Linked DNA regions of Arabidopsis thaliana. The protein of the gene in region 4 interacts with the protein of the main gene of each other region in a pairwise test. Each region holds a gene or a part of one and is shown on either strand. Other genes may lie near its edges.

What was found.
Region 1: the proteins of MAF1 (region 4) and AGL97 interact in a two-hybrid assay, tested with the Arabidopsis thaliana proteins (one large-scale study listed by BioGRID).
Region 2: the proteins of MAF1 (region 4) and GBF4 interact in a two-hybrid assay, tested with the Arabidopsis thaliana proteins (one large-scale study listed by BioGRID).
Region 3: the proteins of MAF1 (region 4) and AT5G03510 interact in a two-hybrid assay, tested with the Arabidopsis thaliana proteins (one large-scale study listed by BioGRID).

What each region holds. Positions count from the first base shown.
Region 1 is NC_003070.9:17,231,119-17,234,996, forward strand, and holds AGL97 (AGAMOUS-like 97), read right to left. Parts: upstream 1,834-3,878; 5' UTR 1,818-1,833; coding exon 1,017-1,817; downstream 1-1,016. UniProt on the Arabidopsis thaliana protein: Putative transcription factor.
Region 2 is NC_003070.9:1,015,977-1,020,360, forward strand, and holds GBF4 (G-box binding factor 4), read left to right. Parts: upstream 1-2,123; 5' UTR 2,124-2,260; coding exon 2,261-3,073; 3' UTR 3,074-3,271; downstream 3,272-4,384. Other genes in the region: AT1G03960 (Calcium-binding EF hand family protein), read left to right, coding at 103-250, 364-473, 819-975, 1,082-1,207, 1,356-1,496; PCS2 (phytochelatin synthase 2), read right to left, coding at 3,335-3,418, 3,628-3,803, 3,930-4,116, 4,211-4,384. UniProt on the Arabidopsis thaliana protein: Binds to the G-box motif (5'-CCACGTGG-3') of the rbcS-1A gene promoter. G-box and G-box-like motifs are cis-acting elements defined in promoters of certain plant genes which are regulated by such diverse stimuli as light-induction or hormone control.
Region 3 is NC_003076.8:877,901-882,149, forward strand, and holds AT5G03510 (C2H2-type zinc finger family protein), read left to right. Parts: upstream 1-2,247; 5' UTR 2,248-2,452; coding exon 2,453-3,331; 3' UTR 3,332-3,447; downstream 3,448-4,249.
Region 4 is NC_003070.9:28,953,219-28,960,932, reverse strand, and holds MAF1 (K-box region and MADS-box transcription factor family protein), read right to left. Parts: upstream 5,412-7,714; 5' UTR 5,255-5,411; coding exon 5,070-5,254; exon of another isoform or gene 2,623-5,069; coding exon of another isoform or gene 2,600-2,622; coding exon 2,542-2,599; intron 2,478-2,541; coding exon of another isoform or gene 2,432-2,477; intron 2,332-2,431; coding exon 2,089-2,331; intron 1,981-2,088; coding exon 1,939-1,980; coding exon of another isoform or gene 1,879-1,938; exon of another isoform or gene 1,783-1,878; coding exon of another isoform or gene 1,771-1,782; exon of another isoform or gene 1,604-1,770; coding exon 1,562-1,603; coding exon of another isoform or gene 1,520-1,561; exon of another isoform or gene 1,356-1,519; coding exon of another isoform or gene 1,323-1,355; exon of another isoform or gene 1,190-1,322; coding exon 1,088-1,189; 3' UTR 822-1,087; downstream 1-821. Other genes in the region: AT1G77090 (thylakoid lumenal protein (Mog1/PsbP/DUF1795-like photosystem II reaction center PsbP family protein)), read left to right, coding at 1-187, 293-357; AT1G77060 (Phosphoenolpyruvate carboxylase family protein), read left to right, coding at 7,484-7,714. UniProt on the Arabidopsis thaliana protein: Probable transcription factor involved in the negative regulation of flowering time in both long and short days, probably through the photoperiodic and vernalization pathways. Prevents premature flowering.

The DNA.
Region 1 (3,878 bases), about 12 Mb from region 4:
TGATCGAATTTGAATCCTGTCTTGTAATTGCCATATTGTGTTAATAACATCTTCGCTTGGTTTAACTGTTTTGATATTGACAAGAAAAATGAAAATTAGCAAGTAAAATAAATTAATAATGGTAGAGCATGAACAACTAACTCAAGTATGTATACTTACAATGTCATGCTCGGAAGCACCGCTAGGATTCTTGTTTTCAATCTGGTTACACATCCTCTTAGCTTGGAGACAGCAGAAAGAATCGTTGTCATTCGAGTTTGTAAAGATCTTTTTGGTCTTGGTTGACTATGAAAGATCTCAGATTTTGCAATTGTGGCTGGACCAACACGTTTATGGAGTAAGAAAGTGTTACATGATATTATAACTACTTGTATCATAATGCATAATATGACATAGAGGATGAACGTGATTTTGATGCAAGTATTGAAGAAAGAGCCGAGGTCCCAACTCTAGAAGATGAAACGGCGGGAGACGATCGATGATGGTCGATTTCAAGAATTTTTAGCTCGACACAGGAAAATCAAAGACCGTGAAGCTCATATTAAACTTCGAAATGCATTAATTGAACACTTGTGGTCCGTATATACTAATTCTGAGAATTAGTACAATGTAATTTTTTTTTGTTATTTTCAATTTATCGATTGTAATCTTATATTAATTAAGTTAAAATAATTTAGTTATGAAATATGTTATGTATATCAAACTATTAAAAAAATAAAGAAAATCTTAAGTTTAATAATATTATAATAAAAAGTAATATTTTTAGTGTGAAATTGGTGTTATGGTTGGAGATGATAAAACAATTGAAACACCAAAATATCAAATTTGGTGTTAAAATTTGGTGTATTGTGGTTGGGGATGCTCTTATGTTTTGGTTAGATATACGAAAATATCACGCAGATCAAATAAAGTCATAAGCTGATAAAAGACATACAAAGATATACTAAACCGAAGCAATACTTAAATCAAGGATCCAATTTCAACATAAACACAAATTGTCACCATAGAGGCATGCATCAGACATCATCCATCTTTAAATTCATGGATAAAGCTTCAGAGCTTGTCAAATACTCAATGATTTGATCGAGATCATCAAAATCTTCATTGCACTCATCCAAGTTTCCAAGTAAACCGTTGTTGTTGCTATTGTCAGAAACCGCTAGGGTTTGCTCTTCCGTGTTCCCTTCAGAATTCACAGTTACATCATCCATCTCCAAATTCACCGATAAAAATTCAGAGTTTGTCACCGTATCGAAGATTTGATCGAGATCATCAAAATCTTCATTGCACTCATCCAAGTTTCCAAGTAAACCGTTGTTGTTACTATTGTCAGAAACCGCTAGGGTTTGCTCTTCCGTGTTAAACCCATCGAAATTCACAGTTACATAATCTTGAATGCAAACCCTTGCAGAACACGGCTGATGAATTAGGGTTTGCGTTTGATGATCTCTTTGCTTCTCCAACTCCTTGAGATCTCGCAACATAGTCGACATTGAATCCATCGCCTCTCTCAACTCCTCCAGATTCTCTGATTTTAGAAGACTCTCATCTTCCCACCAAAACCTTTCATCACAAGGACGCTGATTGGCGAGAAAAGCAGCGACGACATTATCAACAGAGGAGTGGCCAAAACTGTAGAAAGCGGCGTTGGAATTAGAAGAAACAGGAGTCGCTATGATCGCAATCTCTGCGTCCGAGAGAAGACAAAGTTCAGAAGCTTTGCTATACAGACCCTTACGACGTTTGGAGAATGAAACCGCTCGTGGATTTTTGTTCTGTATCTTCTCTATAGCAATCTTCCTCTTCACGCCACCCATTCTGTTTTTTTTCTCAGTTTCACAAACAAAAGAGAACGAGACAAGACTTGAGAGTTTTGTGTGCTGCCGCTTGTTGCGAAAGAAGAATATGATAATGGACTCACTCTCGTTCTAATCAGATAGATATATATATAGACTTAGTAGCCCTAACTCGTTTTCTAATTAATCCATGTTATTTCCTTTTTCTGATAATTGCTAATCAGTAATTAAACGACTAAATAAACTTGTTTTCCTTTTTTGAAAGTAATTAGTACACAAAACCACCTGAAACAACATCGATTTTGATTTCCTTTTTTACTGATAATACCCTAATCGGTAATTAAACGAAAAATTAAAACTGTTTCCTTTTCTAAAAGTAAATTACTCAAAACCATCTAATACAAACAAAGACCGGTTTAGTTAAACCGAATCTGTATTTAGTGGAATTTTTGGTTTAGTCGGTGAATTTGTTTACTACTGATTGTCTAATAAGCGAAGGAGGACGAGTAAACCAACATGCAAATTCTTCCTTTAACCGGTTTGGTCAACGGTCAATAAAATAAGACCGTTATGAAGGGTAAAAGCGTCAATACAACAAAATATTTAGGAGCCTCTCTTCTTCTCTTTGTGACCGTTACGAATCCAAAAACCAAAATTGCAAACTTTGTGAGGAAGAAGAAGACGACACAGTATTGAAGAATACAATCTCAAACCCTAGTATGGAATCTCTGTTTTATGCTGGTGAATCAATGTCCGATACACAACAAAAACTCAAGCTTTTGGTTGATAATGGTGAATTGGTGATTACGGATTCGGAAGAGGATCTAGATATGGAGATTACGAGAATCTGTTGGAATTGAGTATCCTAAACTAAATCCTACAAGAATAACAAGCTTGGTGAGAAGAAGAAGATGAAGAACAAAGGAAGAAGCAACGGAAGAAGAAGACGATGGCGGAGAAGAGACGTCGTGAAGAGAGGAGTCAAAGGAAGAGAAGAAAGTCAACAAACCAAATGGGTTTGTGTTTTGTGTGTTGGGTCATAGGTAATGAGATAAGGCCCATACGAATAAGTGTTTTGTACAAGTTGTCTAGTTAAGGTCCAACAAGAAGAGGTTGTGACAACTAAAGTAAACTAAGAGAGTGAATTAAGGTGTTGGAGTTCCAACATAGTAGAGTGGATGATGTAAGTCTTAGGACAATGATGTGGTCTAGAGTCTAAGTGTGTGTAGTCTACCAAGTGGAGCAAAACCACTATATGTATGTGTTGTTTGTGTTGTGTAAGAGTATCCAAGAATATTATCAAAGTAGAAGATTAAAAGAAAATAGTTTTTGTTCTTTCTCTCTAAAGACAATGAAACCGTAAAGGAGTGTGAGAAATAGAGAGATTGTGAGAATTACAACAGAATCAAAGATTCGTATGGAAGATTCTGAAAGAAGAACAAGTGAGATTTGGAAGAAGAAATCAGGGTTTTGCTGGAGAAGAATCTTGTATCAATTAGAAACATATAAGTACTGATTCTTCTGTGATCAAAACATGGCTACAGGTTTGTTGAAGACTTCTTCTGTGACATCCTCAGCATTGAAGACTTGTTTAAGAAACTTGATTTTTGAGAAGTTAAAAGGTAGAGACTTCTTGAAGAAACAAGCTCACAGCCATAAATATTCTGGCAAAATCCACATTGTTCATCTTTGTTATTAAGCATTATGTTTTCTTCTCTGTGGCCTTTGTGGATCCTTCTAAGAGACTACATTATTGAGATTTCCAGAGCTACTTTTGTTTTGTAGGTTTAATATTCTGATGTATACATATATGACATTGTGTTGTAATTCTCACATATCTAACCACTTTAGTTAGATCTCTTGCTCTCTTGTCTCTCACACAGATTTTATTCTTTGTTCTAGAGAGACACAAAAGCGTTTTCCTCCAAAGACTACATTGTTAATTACTTGGTTACTCTTACACAACACAAGGACACACATACATAAACTACTTCTACTTGAGACACACACACACTTGCACACTTGCACTTAGACCTAATGATGGCTCTTACACAAGACCTACTTCTACATACATTGGAACTC
Region 2 (4,384 bases), about 28 Mb from region 4:
AAGAGCTATATGAGTATTGGCTTATACCTTCATATTGCTTCTGTAACAGAACTTATGCCTGATTTTACCATTTGCAATCATGTCGTTTCTTTTAATTTTCAGGTACTTCTCCTATGAGCACTTCTACGTGATATACTGCAAATTTTGGGAACTTGATGGTGACCATGATTGTTTTATTGATAAGGACAATCTCATCAAATATGGTAATAATGCCCTTACCTACAGGATTGTTGATAGAATATTTTCACAGGTTGGTTCCCAAAATTGTTCCTGCCTAGACCTTCTTAAAAGCTAAGTTATATAGTATGATGTGATCCTTTTTATTTGATCTCCATGCGTCTTGTGGCTATGTTTCTCTTTTAGATTCCAAGGAAGTTTACGAGTAAAGTTGAAGGGAAGATGAGTTATGAAGATTTTGTGTACTTCATTCTCGCTGAGGAAGACAAGTCTTCCGAGCCTAGTCTTGAGTATTGGTACACATCTCCCCCTCCGTGTTGATATTGGTTTTCCTTAATGAATGTTGCCCCTTGGTTTAGATCACAAGATCTTGATATATATACTACAACGGAGTCAAAACCAGTGACTTGAGGACTTGTTACTTGTAACAAGTCCTCTTCCTCAGATATATTTAGTAATCATTGTATGGTACCATTTTTTCATGAACATAGGATCCTTGTTTATACTCGGGCACTAACAATCTAACAATCTGATACTAGTTTATAGCCTAGTATGCTCATCTATCTATTATGGATGTCAAAACTCAATATTTTTGCAAGTCCGTGTATTTTACTTGACACTGATTGAAATTTTCCGTGCAGGTTCAAATGCGTAGACTTGGATGGAAATGGGGTAATCACTTCAAACGAAATGCAGTTTTTCTTCGAAGAGCAGCTGCATCGCATGGAATGCATAACCCAGGAAGCTGTTCTTTTCAGTGATATCCTATGTCAAATAATTGACATGATTGGACCCGAGGTTAGTTACTTTACAAACCAGAACATGGTTGTTTGATTTTTCCGAGCTTTTTTGTTATTTATCATTTATTTGACTGGAATCATCTATATGGTGGATGTCCTTGCAGAAGGAGAACTGTATCACCCTCCAGGATCTGAAAGGATCGAAACTTTCAGCAAACGTTTTCAATATACTCTTCAACCTTAATAAGTTCATGGCATTTGAAACACGTGACCCATTTCTCATTCGCCAGGTAAGTTTGGCTTACCAGTGGAGTTTTTATAGCACTCAAGAGGGAAAAAAATAACAAAGAATATGACTTCTTTTAACTGCTAAAGGCAGTTTGTAGTAGTTCGGATTGAGGCAATTAGAACAAGTATAATTCTCTTTCATTGCTGTAGGAACGGGAAGATCCAAATTTGACAGAGTGGGATCGATTTGCTCAGAGAGAGTATGCGAGATTGTCAATGGAGGAAGATGTAGATGAAGTCTCAAATGGGAGTGCAGATGTCTGGGATGAACCACTCGAACCTCCATTTTAGTCCATAGTGGTAAGTTCACACTGCTTGTGTATAGGAAATGCAAATGCTTATAAAATTCTGTGATTTATTGAGTCGAAAGCCGATCTTGACTACAGAAACCAACCAAATAAGGAGACTTATGATTTGAGGTTTTCCCTGGAGAGAGATCCATGATCAGAGATTGGAGGTCACTGTTGGTTGTTACCAGACGCTTTCATCATCATTTCCAAAAGAGTCTCAGCCAAATTCATGAAATTTTTGCAATTTTGTTTTGGTTTCATTATAAAGATTATATCAAGTTGGGCCCTCTCTCCCTCTACATCATCTAGTGTCCATATAACCAGTTGGATTGTCCAACTCAGAATGTACTCATAAATCTGAATTGTTAAACTCTTTTAGTCTTTACTGTCACACGAATATATTTTCAGAAAGAAATCTGAATTGTAAATCTCTTTAGTTGCACTGATATCTTTTTCATAAAAAAAAAAAGAGAAAGAAATCTGAATAGTAAATCTTTTTTCTTAATTAAAAAGAAAAGAAAAAACATCTCCTTATAGTATAGTTGATAGAAGGTGCAAGTCACGCGTTTAATGTGCGCGTGATTAGTTAATTAAACTTGTATATAGAGAGTAAGCGCGTGGTTACATTGCAAAACACTAGAGATAACCCTAGAAAGATCTCTCTCGATCTCTGGTTCGAAGAAAATCCACCATTTCCGATTGTTCTTTCTCTTTGACAAAACCCAGATAGATAAAAATTCGTTCCAATTCCAGTGAGCTCCGGAAATGGCGTCCTTCAAGTTGATGTCTTCTTCCAATTCCGACTTGTCTCGCCGTAATTCTTCTTCTGCTTCATCTTCCCCTTCTATAAGATCATCGCACCATCTCCGACCAAATCCTCACGCCGATCACTCCAGAATCAGTTTCGCTTACGGCGGAGGAGTCAACGATTACACTTTCGCGTCTGATTCAAAGCCCTTCGAGATGGCGATTGATGTTGATCGGAGTATCGGAGATCGGAACAGCGTTAACAACGGAAAGAGTGTTGACGATGTTTGGAAAGAGATTGTATCTGGAGAGCAAAAGACGATCATGATGAAGGAAGAAGAACCAGAAGATATAATGACACTTGAGGATTTCTTAGCGAAAGCAGAAATGGACGAGGGAGCTTCAGATGAAATCGATGTGAAGATTCCAACGGAGAGACTCAACAACGACGGTAGCTATACATTTGATTTTCCGATGCAGCGACACAGTTCGTTCCAGATGGTTGAAGGATCAATGGGTGGAGGAGTAACGAGAGGAAAGAGAGGGAGAGTGATGATGGAGGCAATGGATAAAGCTGCAGCTCAGAGACAGAAGAGGATGATCAAGAACCGTGAATCCGCTGCTAGGTCTCGAGAGAGGAAACAGGCTTATCAGGTTGAGTTAGAGACTTTGGCTGCCAAGTTAGAGGAGGAGAATGAGCAGCTTTTGAAGGAGATTGAAGAGAGCACTAAAGAGAGATACAAGAAGCTCATGGAGGTTCTGATTCCGGTCGATGAGAAACCAAGGCCACCGTCGAGGCCCTTAAGCAGGAGCCATTCCTTGGAATGGTGAAGTGTGGTAAAAAAAACTTTTGTATGTAAAAAAAATAAAAACATATGGGCTTGATTACTATATTATAATCTATATAGTAAAGTGATGGTGATATGGTTAGTACTTAGTTACCTGTAATGTATCTAAGGGATGTAATGGATAATACATAGCTTTTTGCTGATTTATAAGATATCTATGGACCAGACTAGATGGGATAAATTCTTTTTCTCCCTAACAATTTTGTTGGTCGATTCAAATTAGAAAGTGGTTGGTTGTGTTTGATTAGGCAGGAGCAGAGAGTTCTTCGTCTTCTTTATTCTCCTGGCATCGTTTTAGCATCTCAAGTTGGCGTCGTAGATGCAAAACCTGTAACCCACCAAAGGAAAACGATTTAACTTAGCTGACTTTACTACATATTTCTCATCTAATGGATTCTGGAGTTCAGCCTTAAAAAAGAGTCAGCTTCAGAAGGTAATCCTCAGACTATATAACTGAGTTTCATTTCTGTTTCTTATCCTAAGAATTAGAAGATATATAACTCAGACTCCAAGTGAAGAGTTGGCTTAGTTATGTACCTCTTGTTGAAGCAAAGTCGGGTGGCTAACCATGGAAATGAGCTGTTTCATTTCTTGCAAAAGTGACTGGTCTTTGATACCTGACCACGTCTGTGGAGGTAAAGCCAACAGAAGAGCAGTGAACACATCGTTCCCGGATGGGTAAGCTACCACTGTCACTTTCTCCTCACCAAGACCTTGATGTAAAACAAGAAATTCAAAGAAAAAAGTGATTTCTTGATTAGAACTTTGCACACTACTAACTTCAAGCCAAGGTTTCTGAAGCGCTTAGAAAGATAACCAGAATGTAAGAACAAACATACCTTTGATACATTTGACACAAGTTTCCTTACAACAGGATTCATCTGATTCATATCCCGATAAGATTTCATCTCCGTCACAATAAACCTTAGCAGCAACATATGGCAGATTGTCTTCGTACACAGAGGAGAGAAACTTATCCACATGCTTGAACAGTTTAGTTTCTTGCACTTGTTTCAGTAACTCTTGCTACAGCAAAACGAACCATAGAACAGTGATGAATAAACTGATGGAATATAAACATGGAAAACTAAAGTTCAGAAGCAAATGGACAAGATAATACCTTTAATTTGAGCCTTGATTTCTCTTCTGAGCTAAGATTTTGATTTACATCCTCTGTTCTTCGAATCTCAGCCATCCATTTGATAAATTGGTTGAAATTTGCTGGAAGTGACTTGAATACAACATATAAGATTCTTTCAATAGTATCAACATGTTGTGAGCTTACAAGACGAGG
Region 3 (4,249 bases), on a different chromosome or scaffold from region 4:
AAATCACCACCAATTTGTCCAAAATCGTCAAATGCTTAACAGTAGATTTCAATTGATTCATGAGGAAAAAAGAAAGGTCAATACAAAAAATCCAGTGGCCACAAATGGGTAGGGAGACGAATGAGTTGGTGGCGACAAGGAGAATCTGAGGGAGAGAAATAAAAAAATCCCTTTCACGGGAAGCATAAAAGACAGAGTGAAAATAATAGAACTCACTGGAGATTCGCCAGAGAGATGGCTCGGCGGAGAATTCACGCAGCCGGAGAAGACGATCGGAAGAAGACACGCTCACCAGAGAAAGCAAATCGAGATTTGTTTCCTCTCTTTTAGTTGGGCCTTTAATTTAGTTCAGGCCTGCTTTAAGCCCATATATTCCTAATCTTCTTATTCCTCGTGAAGCTTAAAACGTATTTCTAGAGCCGTTGAGGGATTTGCTATATGGGGGAAGACTCTGTTCCACCCACCTATATCAGAATTCAGAACCATTTTATATGCTTCAAATGACAAAAGAAAAATGTTTTTAAAATATTGGAATTCAATTGTGCAAGTTTCGGTATAATTTGTTTAGGTGATCCTTGCAAGTTGCAACAACTACTTAACGGTTTTTGAGAAGCCTTGTAAAAAAGGTTTTGTTAGGATGGTGATGATGAATGTATGATGGGTGACGACTAATTATGTTTATGATTTTATTTATTTATTTATAAAGTATATGCTTTGCTTAGGTTGAGTAGTGAAGCTAGCTAGTTGGCAAGTAATGGCTTCTTTTGGCGGCCAAGCAATTCTCTATCTCTCTTTCACACACACAATCCTCGACGCCAAGACTTAAATCAATTCCTCCTGATTTATTCATTTTAAAATTGTGATGATACTAGCTTCACAATACACTCAAAAATATTCTTCTTAATGATCTATTGTATGTATAGTAACACGTTAGCAAAAGATAATCATTGAGAGCCAAAGACAACTAATGTGTATAGAGTTGAATGAGTAAAAGTTGGATATCAATCCAGCTCTAAGAAACTCATTATGTAGAATGAATATTAAAAAAACATGTGTTTCTTGAATTTTATAAATTGCTGTCACCGAGTTTATTAGTATACTATACTACAAAGACCTAGACTACAGTTACAAACTACGATAAGGGAGGTTACTTCATCGAATACATATTATTAGCTAATCACAAGATTAATAATGGTTTGATCAAATAATTGGATAACCAAAATAAAAATCAAAGTTTCTTAGAAAGAGGCGCAAACATAGGGAGTGATATTATATATTTAATTCGTTTTAGCTAATATCATTATAACTAAATATTGTATACATAACTAGAATCATGATTCATAATTGTGTGTTGTGTAATTGTGGGTTGGCTCAACTGCACATGAACTGCTCGACCCCAAAATTCGATTGCCTTTTACTTTCCAATTAATTAACTTAATTATTTAATCAGCAACTTAAGTGTACATATATCCGCAATGATTAGTAGTATTAAGAAACAAAAACAGAATTCGACGTATTTTCAAGTTAAATTTGTACTTTAGTAGCTTTTATATATAATAGTTGGTTTCAAATCTTTAATGTAATTTGTTACAAAACGTAATAAGTTTGCAGGAATTTATAATATGCTTGAATTGTGTGTGTTGTGGTACTGTGTTTCGTGTTGAAACTACTTGTGGATGACTCAAGCCATCAATATAAAATTATTTATAAAGTTTTAGGATTTTAGTTAGTGATAATGTGAAATCAAAGGAAAAAAAATCAATAAATTGAGTGGCATATTTAGAATACGCAATCCAGTTTGATTCTTCTTAATATAATACATTACATTCCAAGTGTCAAAATTGTAGTTCATTTTATTAATAAGAAAAAATGGTATATGTAGAATGACACCTTCTTGAACAGAAAACACAGATTTAATTTCATTTTCAGAAAGAAAATAAAATAACATCTTCTAAGATTAGTGTTGACATTGAATCCACATTTTTGTTACTTTAGCTATAATGATGTGTGTCTTTTGAAATTATAAGGATGCTTATGAGTATTTAATAAGTAAAATACTAGTATTTTTTTTTATGTGATTCATAAGACAAGCAAAACAAAAGTTAACCAAAAAAAGAGAAAATCATTTAAAAAAAATTGAAAGGAAAAAAATAAAAACAAGAAGAGAACAACAAGTGGTTCCAGGCTTGCAAACCAAAACTTCCAGAAAGGAATCCTTCACCAAAAGTTATTTTGGGTTTGCTTCTTTTCTCATCTTTTCTCTTACCCATTACATTATATATACACACAATACTATTGTGTGTATAAACAAATACAATCACATACAAATATATATAAATACTTAGACATATAAACCAAACCCACCAAACACTCTTTGATACTTCTCTCCATATATACATATACGACCTCTTGTGTTCTTGAAATACAGAGAGCAAATAAAAAACGGAGGATCATGACAAGTGTTCTTGAGGAGAGTGGAGACCACGCGCGTCTTGTTCTCCTCATCAAGGGCAAACGCACCAAACGTCAGCGTTCTGCGTCTCCTCTTATGATGAACGCTGCTGCAGTATCCAGCGTTTGTAGCGGTGAACGATCATCAGTGGAGGTAAGAGAAGAAGAAGCTGCTGGTGAAGTAGAATTCCAAGGAGCTACCGATGAAGACGAAGATATGGCGAATTGTCTGATCTTGTTGTCGCAAGGACATCAAGCAAAGAGCAGCGACGATCATTTGTCGATGCAGAGAATGGGTTTCTTTAGCAACAAGAAACCGGTGGCTTCTCTAGGGTTAGGGCTAGACGGTGTTTACCAGTGCAAAACGTGTGATAAAAGCTTCCATTCGTTCCAAGCGCTAGGAGGGCACAGGGCTAGTCACAAGAAGCCAAAACTTGGAGCTAGCGTTTTCAAATGCGTCGAGAAGAAAACGGCGTCTGCGTCTACGGTTGAAACAGTGGAAGCTGGAGCCGTAGGAAGCTTTCTTTCCCTACAAGTGACTAGTAGTGATGGTAGCAAGAAACCGGAGAAAACACATGAATGTTCAATCTGCAAGGCCGAGTTTTCTTCAGGACAAGCCTTAGGAGGACATATGAGGAGACATAGAGGTTTAACAATAAACGCAAACGCTACTTCAGCAATCAAAACAGCGATATCATCATCAAGTCATCATCACCATGAAGAATCTATACGGCCAAAGAACTTTCTCCAGTTAGATCTGAATCTTCCAGCACCCGAAGATGAACGATGCTGCGAGAAACCGAAATTCGCGTTTGCATCCAAAGATCAGATTCTTCTCTTCACGGCCGCGTCAAATTCTTTGATTGATTGTCATCACTAATTAAGTAGTTCTTTGTAATTACTTTTTTATTACATTGATATGTTAAATCATTAACCCTTCTCTTATTATTGTCCATTCATTCTTGTAATCTGACATTGATTGAATTAACTTCAAATTATTTCATTCTTTGAAACTACTCATTGCTCCATAATTTAGCACATTTCTAATAATCATCAATATATACACAATAGTATATAAGTATGTGATACTTAACTTTGGGAGAATGATGAAAGATGCTGAGGATGTTCCTTGGAGAACGGAAGAAGCATGTGACGATGACTTTCGCATAAAGTCACTTCGTTTGTTAGCCGCCACTAACTCCTTTGGATACACTTCACTTCCGTTTGGGGTTTTTCGTTTTTTCAGATTCTTTTCTGATATAATAATACATATATCATTTTCATTAGAGTAAATCAAAAGACTACATCTATAATAATCTACAAAGACTCGTTCAAAAATCGGATCTAAAGCGTGTTTTGAGAGTCCAATGTTGAAGTATACAGTAGATGTGATTTGATCCCTAGCTTCGACTATATACTATCGAATTTTTTTATTATCGAATGTGTTTTTCACTAGAAAATACGATAATATACTGACCGATGTCTTGAGATTTTGGACATATATCACAAGACATTCATGTAGCAACAAACGAATCTTCATGATCATGTTATGTAGTATGGGAAACTAACAGTAAACTGTTACAAACTTATTGATATGATATATGCTACAACATCTTCTAGAAATAGGAGCTATTACTACGCTACGTACTGTTAATGGTATAATGGTATCTCTATATCGATCATGTCATGTCTTTATATAGTTTATGACTCAATGACTCATCTATATCTTTCTTTTGAAAATAAGAACATGATATGTAGAGAAAGTGCAACTTCTTACTACTAACAAAACGAATGAATA
Region 4 (7,714 bases):
GCGAAGGTGATTAACGCGTTTGGACCAGAAGTTATTGGAGAAAACGTAGAAGGGAAGGTGTTAAGTTCCAATGTTGCAGAACACGATGGTAGACTCTATTACCAATTCGAGCTAGAGCCGCCTCATGTACTGATAACTGCAACAGCTGCCGGAAACCGCCTTTACTTGTTCAGTGTCACCGGAAACGGTAAGGCAAAACCTCTCTTCTAGTCAGAGATTTAAAGACAGAGCAAACACCTTTTGTTTGGTTTGTACACATAGTTAATTGCTCTGCTTATGTTTGATTCTATAGGTCTTCAATGGAAGAGACACTACAAGGATCTGAAGAGGATAGCTAGTTCATTCCGCATTGTTTAGACTTTAGAACTTTTTTGGATATATCAGATCTTCAACAAGTTACTCAAGTGTTTCTCAAGACTAAGAACACAAAGAGCGGTACATAAATGTGTATTTGTAAAAAGTTGAGAATCCTGTAATATTATACTAAACAACATACGAGCAGTGAGTTTGGCATACGGTTGTATGGATCTGGATTCATCAGAAAGAACCAAAACATGAAACAGAGTTCAAAAGCTGGCTTTTTTGAGTTCTTCAAAAACACAAATAATAAAACTTGGAAAAGGTGAAAAATATCTTATATAGTTTGGAGCTCTCAAAAACAGAATCACTAAACTTGGAAAAAAGAGCAAAATATCTGATATGGTTTTGATCAAATTAAAAGAGATGCAACTAAATAACTTTGCCACGTAATGTAAGACAAATAATCAAATAATTAAAGTTATAAAAAAAAAAAGTAAAAAAAAAAAGAAATAAGAAGGTCTAGGGTTCTTCACGCTGAAGAAAGAAAGCACAACTTTAAAAATCCAATCCGTACATTCAGACACAAACACACAAACTCTGATCTTGTCTCCGAAGGAGGTACAACACTGATCCATACTTTCTCGTTTTCTTTTTGACCTTAAATTCCACACTAGAGGAAGATAAAAGGTTTGAGATTACACAGCTTTTTATAATATACAAATTTATTCTCTTAATTATGAATCAGGCTTTGAGTTTAAGGTGAAAACTCAGCCGTTGATGATGGTGGCTAATTGAGCAGCGGGAGAGTCTCCGGTATTTTGTTGCCGGAGCTACTTCCCGGAAACATTCCTCTCTCATCATCTGTTGCCAGCAACGTATTCTTTCCCATCTGTAAGAAACTTTCTTACATTTCTTTTTTTTCTACAGCTACTAAACATTGCAAGAAATTAATCTATCTTGTAGAAAGCATTTTTTTTATTTGCAAATTTCACAAATTAAAAATACCGGGTTTTGAGTATCTTTCATCGGTGAGACATACCTTTCTTCTCTGACAGCTACTAAATTAACAAGAAAGATAGATTTTAAAAGCATTTTGTTATCACTTATCACATATTTAGGGTTTCACTATAATTGTCTAGTATCCATCAAAGTCCTTCAACTTTTAGTTTTCATGTACGTGTATATGTGTATCTCTCTATAACGGGGACGTATAAAGTGATTAATTAGCTTCAAGAGCAGAAGATATTGTGGTCATTGTTACCTGGCTAGCCAGAACCTGGTTCTCTTCTCTCAGCAATTTCTCCTGTTTGGAAAAGATCATAAGGTCATTAGTTTCTAACAACTTCTATAGCTATTTCCAAACATGTTTCCTTCTCGAAACATAAATCATCCTCATCCAAATTCGACACTTTATGAGGGAAAGGTTGGATTTGATCAAGAGTTTAAAACTGCTTGTTTTTTTAATTCTCATTAGGGTTTCACCTGAATGAAGCCAATACTAAATCAGGAACTAAGACAAGACCAAAAGATATATATATATATATATAGTAATCTGTAGACTCAGCAGGTTAATAGAATTCAAGAATCATCATAGCCTAGAATATGGCCTTTATCGAAAATAAAAACCAAAGCACTAACCTTTTCTTTAAGGGACTCGATATACTCCATCATCAGTTCTGCCTATAACAAGACATTAAGATTTATGTCAAAAGATTGTTCTAGGATAACTAACTAAAAAGAAGGTTTTGTGGAGTAATTGGTTGAATCACTTAGTAGCAGCACATATACCTTCCTAGCTCTACTTACGGACAGAGCAGTCTCAAGTTGTTCCTCCAGAGAAATTAGAGAATCTACACTTACATTATCGACATTTGGTTCTTCAAGCTTGCTGTATTCACAAGTAGACAAAAGAAAAAAAACATTTTTTTTATCAGAAGAAGAGGGGAGAAAAATGTGTCGTACTGCTAACCTTTGGACTGTTTCTAGTAACTCCTTGTGTGGAAGATAATTCTGAATTTTTTCTTCAAGATCCTGCACATGAAGAAAAGGAATGGTCAGAAAGATTGTGAAGTTCTTGTATTTTCCAGTAGACACAATAACTGTAACTCTAGAGAATTAAGTTCGGTGTTACGAGTTCAAAACATTGAGGTTTCTCCGGCTTGAACAGCGCTTCTATCCTTCATAACACCAAAAACCGCATCCAGAAGAATATTAGAATGACGTTCTTAGCTAATTACTTACTAAGGCTCTAAGTTCATCAGCATGTTGTATTTCATAACGATCAATGATCTTGGAAATGCTGGAGATAAAACAAAAATGCATTAGAACAATAATTTATGCAAAAACCATTTCAAAACTAAGAATCAGATACTGCATCAATAGAGGCCATTATTTAGAGAGAATGCACCAAAGTGAAAGAAAGCTTATATAATATGTTACATTTGCAACAATTTCTGTTACTAACCAACAGTTTTTGATAATCATCTTTACTTAACCAGGCATCTATATATAAAAATGATAGTAAGTATAAAAGCATTAAAAAAAACAATGTAAGTTACTATTAGTTACCCTATTTTTGAAGTTACTGCTTTAGATATATGTGTTCAAAATGTTTTATACTTCAAATGTAAATCTGAAACTCTGATCATCTGGTGCTCTAAAATTAAAATCTGAATTTACAATTTCAACTTTAAGATCCTGTTATATATCAACTTCGCAGCCAATATTGTCATTGTTTCGACTTCAAAAGGTTTTAGAAACTAAGTGCACACATTTTTAACTCATCCCCATGAGTTCGATTATCTACCTTCTTTTTCTTATCAAGGCTAAATCAGTTTTATAAAGAAGCTCTATTTTTGGTTCTTCAAAAAACTAATATCATGCAAAATGTATGATTGTATAGATTATAAATCACATCCTTCCAAAAGACAAAATCTTGATGAAATTCATGTTCATTTTAAGGGAAAATTTTCAAGAATTCAATGCAATCAGTTTATATTTTGACTAGTCAATCCAAGTTTTAGTTATTGACGCTTTCACACATAACGTCAAACGAATCGGAATACTGAAACCAAAAACCTTTGGCTAAATGATATCATGATACTCCAAAAAGGATAAACCAAGAAACTGATTTAGCATTTCCGGGAAGGTCATGACAGCTCTAATCCTATATATGTGTTGTCCATGATCTATTAATGCTATGATATGAATAGAGACTGGCTTCAAATTCACTTCAGTTATTACACGTTCTTATCTTTTTAGTAACATCTCAAGTTGTGACTTAGTAATTTTACATCAATCACAAAAAGAAGAAAAAATGAACAATTAGTAAGACGCATAAGACGACTAATCTCAACTAAAAACACTTTGCATAGTGCCACTTTGTTAAGGTATAAGAACTAAATAAAGAAACTAGCTACAACTAGAGCTTGACTATTGTAAAATGGAGACAGATAGATACGGTTCCTAATACTTCGTCTATAGTCTGTGCATTTTGTTGGTTACAAATTTAACAAATTTGCTTTCATGATCAAGCATTTATGGAGTCAACATCAAGGAAATGAGAAGGAGCTGTATATATACACATACTGACAAGAGTTACCTTTCCATTTCCTACTTATCCATTGATGATTTTATCTTAGGTCTATTAGAAAAAAAAAACTCACTTTTAGTCGCATTCAAAGTATTCTAAAAGAGAAGTGGATGAGATTTTTCTAGATACAAAAGTTCATGGGGTTAAAAATATCCACGACAAATAACAGAAGACTATTAAAGTCATTGAACATTTGGTTGTAGTCTAGTGGTTTCTCCCAATTAGTAAAATTGGCGACCGATTTCTACTTAATGAACCTACTAGGCCACTGACATATATATGGTAGCAGTAAAATCAGTTATAGTTTGAGTTTCTTTAGCAAAGAAATCCAAACTACAACATCTTAGAGAGCAACAAAGAGTCACTCAGTAAGACATAATGTATCTTGTATGGTGTCATAAACACACAACAAATTACGATTAAAAGGGTTAAAATCGATATCCAATTAGTTAAGTAATGAAGAATGTGTGGCGAGTATCAATGTGGAAACTTATCCCAGCACTACAATAAACCATCAAAATCAACTAGATAAACCTTATTCCTTAAAGAGAATTACAAAAGAAAAGATCTACAATACATTTTGGATCAACATAAAGTACAATGTGTTAACCAATTTGAACCAAAGATATTCGATTAATGTTACCACTAACCCCAAATAATCTCTCAACAAAACTACTTGAAGTGCATTGCAATATTGAATATAATTACCAAATCTCAAAATTTGAACAATCTAAACATATTGTTTCTTATATGAAAAAACGAAGCTTCAAAGTGAACAACAGATGGAACTAGCAATACAAAGATTACTTAAACAACATCAAGAACGAATCACCACGTGTAGAAAAGTTTCTTGAATAACATGCAATATTAAATTTCGTCACAAATGAAGGTAAAAAAAGAGATAAAAATGATTTTAAAATGAAAAAAAAAAAAACACGAAAAAAAAAACACGAAACGAACATCAAGAACATATCTTGGCGATCAAAATGTTTAGTCTTAAATTAGGTTAAAGCTTACGCATCTGCTATCTTCATACAGAAAACAAGGAGAAAATCTCAGTTGATTTGATGGAATCAAAAAGCCCTAGATTTGAAGCTTCTATATGGAGAAAGTAATTAAACAAAGTAAAAAAGCACAAAAATCGAGTGAGACCCAGAAAAGGAAAGTATCTTCTTACTCGTCACCGGAGGAAGAGTCATAGAGTTTTCCGGAGGCAGATACGACGACAACAGCGACGGAGGATTCACAGAGAATCGAAAGTTGTCGAGCTTTGTCGATGAGACCATTGCGTCGTTTGGAGAAAGTGACTTGTCGACTGCTTTTGTTCTCGATTCGCTTGATCTCGATTTTTCTTCTTCCCATGGCTTCAAATCTCCGATAAGGGTTATGCCCTAATTTAATCCTAATCTCCGGAGACGCTCAATGCTTTTTGCTTTTTATTCTTTTTTCTTGGTTTTTTTTTTCCTCCAACTCGTTTTTTTTTTTGGTTAAACGAGATAGAGAAAATAATAGTATTAAGCGAAACGATTGCGTTTTGAAGCCACTAAGAGGCAAATTTTTAAGCTTGTCGTTGTTAAAGACTTTTTAATCCAGTCGGTTAGACCGGTCCGAGTCCGATCATCATCCCCACCGAACAGAAATTGGTTTTTAAGGTTTTCTCTTTTTATTTGGAGGGTTTAAAAGTTATTTTATCTCATTGGTTTTGATCGGAAAGTAGTGCTTATGAATCGGGTAACGGTTAATTCAAGGATTTCAGTTATTATTGACGTAATTATATTAAAGATTGATCGGATAATCAAAACTACAATGCAAACTTTCACTAAAATGGTTTTGAATTCAAATATTTTTAAATCGATAATTTTCAATACGTTTGACTATCACCAATTTATTAAAAGTGATTAGTAACTTGACCACTATCAGTGTAAGATAATTGGTATTGAAAACATTATATTATCTAAAACTAAGAGCATATTTTAAAATGTTTGTTTAATTTCTTTGTTTTCTGAATCCATCTTGTCTTGATGCATTGGGATATTCAGATAGCACCTCCCCGCTCCTATGATGGCTCTCCGAGCGATTTTGACCATTTCACCAACTAGAAAGCCTTATCAAAATCTTTGTGCTTTCTTCCGTCTCCAAGAGTAACCATTACTTTATCGAGTTAGGTCGTAGGTTCTGCCGTGGCTCATTCATACTACGTCTCAAAACTGAGTTAGGGATGGTAACTAATTTGGCTTCCCCATTTTCAATGTTTGTTCGCTTACGCTATAAAGGTGAACCAGAATCAGCCCACGACCCTAACCGGATTAAACCGACATTGTTCTTCTTCCCAATCTCGTTTCGGCCCAATATTAAACCAACGAGCCAATACTCCCTTAAACGATTATTTGGGGCAAAAAGACTCTCAACTCTATTCACATGCCCATTAAAGGCCCGATATAATTTCACCGTCCAAAACTACAAATTCGTTTCGGCTTGCTTCATTTCTCAGCTTCTGGTTAATGGGTGGTAAATGATAGCTCTAAGAATAAAGGCTTTTCTCTACTACATAAGAAAAAAAAAAAGAGAAAAAAAGAAATAGCCCATCTCTACTTGTCCCTTTTATTGGCCTGATTTAGCTTATTCAAAAATAAGAAAAGAAATGGGTTTGTTAATAATAAATCAGTAATACTAATCTAACGGCTAATTGTCAAATCGTTGAGAAGACAGTCGAACGGTAAGTTTAATTTTAAAAAGATCAACATTATAGCCGTTGGTGAAGATTGCCAACAAGCCCTATAAATACTTCCACTAAACTTTTTTACAGCCATCCAAGTGGACCAATCTTTTTTATTTGGCTAAAATGTCAATTGAATTCAGATGGTATAGTTGCACACAAGAAAAATAAAAAATAAAAAAAATCAGATGGTATCAACAGTTTACATATTCACCCTTAATCAAAACGGAAAAAGAGAGCATAAAGCCATAAAGTAAAATTCAGTCTAAAAAGCTGTAACAATTTCTTAAATACAAACGACCCAATTTGTTGAGATGTGAAAAAGGCAAAAACAAGTCACTACATGAAATTGGATGTTGTAGGCCCAATTTGTTGAGATAGTAAAACCGAATCATTTTTTATCAAGCATTAGGTTGGAAATTGGTTGGCCCATAGAGTATGTAAAATCAAAGTAGAAATGGAGAAAAAGTGAAAAACAATGAAATCTTTCTTGTTTATTTTGATTTTTCTCAAAATTTACATCTTTTCGATTGTTATCATCTTATAGGTCTTTTGCAACTCTCTTGCCTTTGTCGTGCTTGTTCTGGTGGAGAAAGGAGTCGTTGTTTTGTGGGCTCTTGTGTTATGTTGTGAAATAGGTTTGGTGACATAAAGGCCCATTTCTATGATGAGCTTAAGCTAACCAAATTATACATTTATTGTTAGATTGCCTCTAACATTTTCACAATACCTTGTGGTTTGAGTCTTTGAGATACTGTTACCATAAGATAAGACCGAGATATAATAACCACGTGCTCTCTATTAAAATCCCAAGCGTGTGGGTCAGAGTCTAACTCGATTAGAGAGAAGAAAAAACTTGTTCGAGGCTTCGAAGAATGTCGATGTTAATGGCTGTCAAAACAACTTCACTCTGTTGTAGCAGCTTAAACCTTACAGCTTCACCAACATTCCGACGGAACCCACGCGCGGCGAGATTGGTGAATCCGACAGCGAGAATCCAAACACGTTTTCATCGCCTGATTGAAGAACAAGGCATTGTGCTTATGCCTGGATGCTACGATGCCTTATCCGCGGCTATTGTGCAGCAAACCGGATTCTCCGCTGGT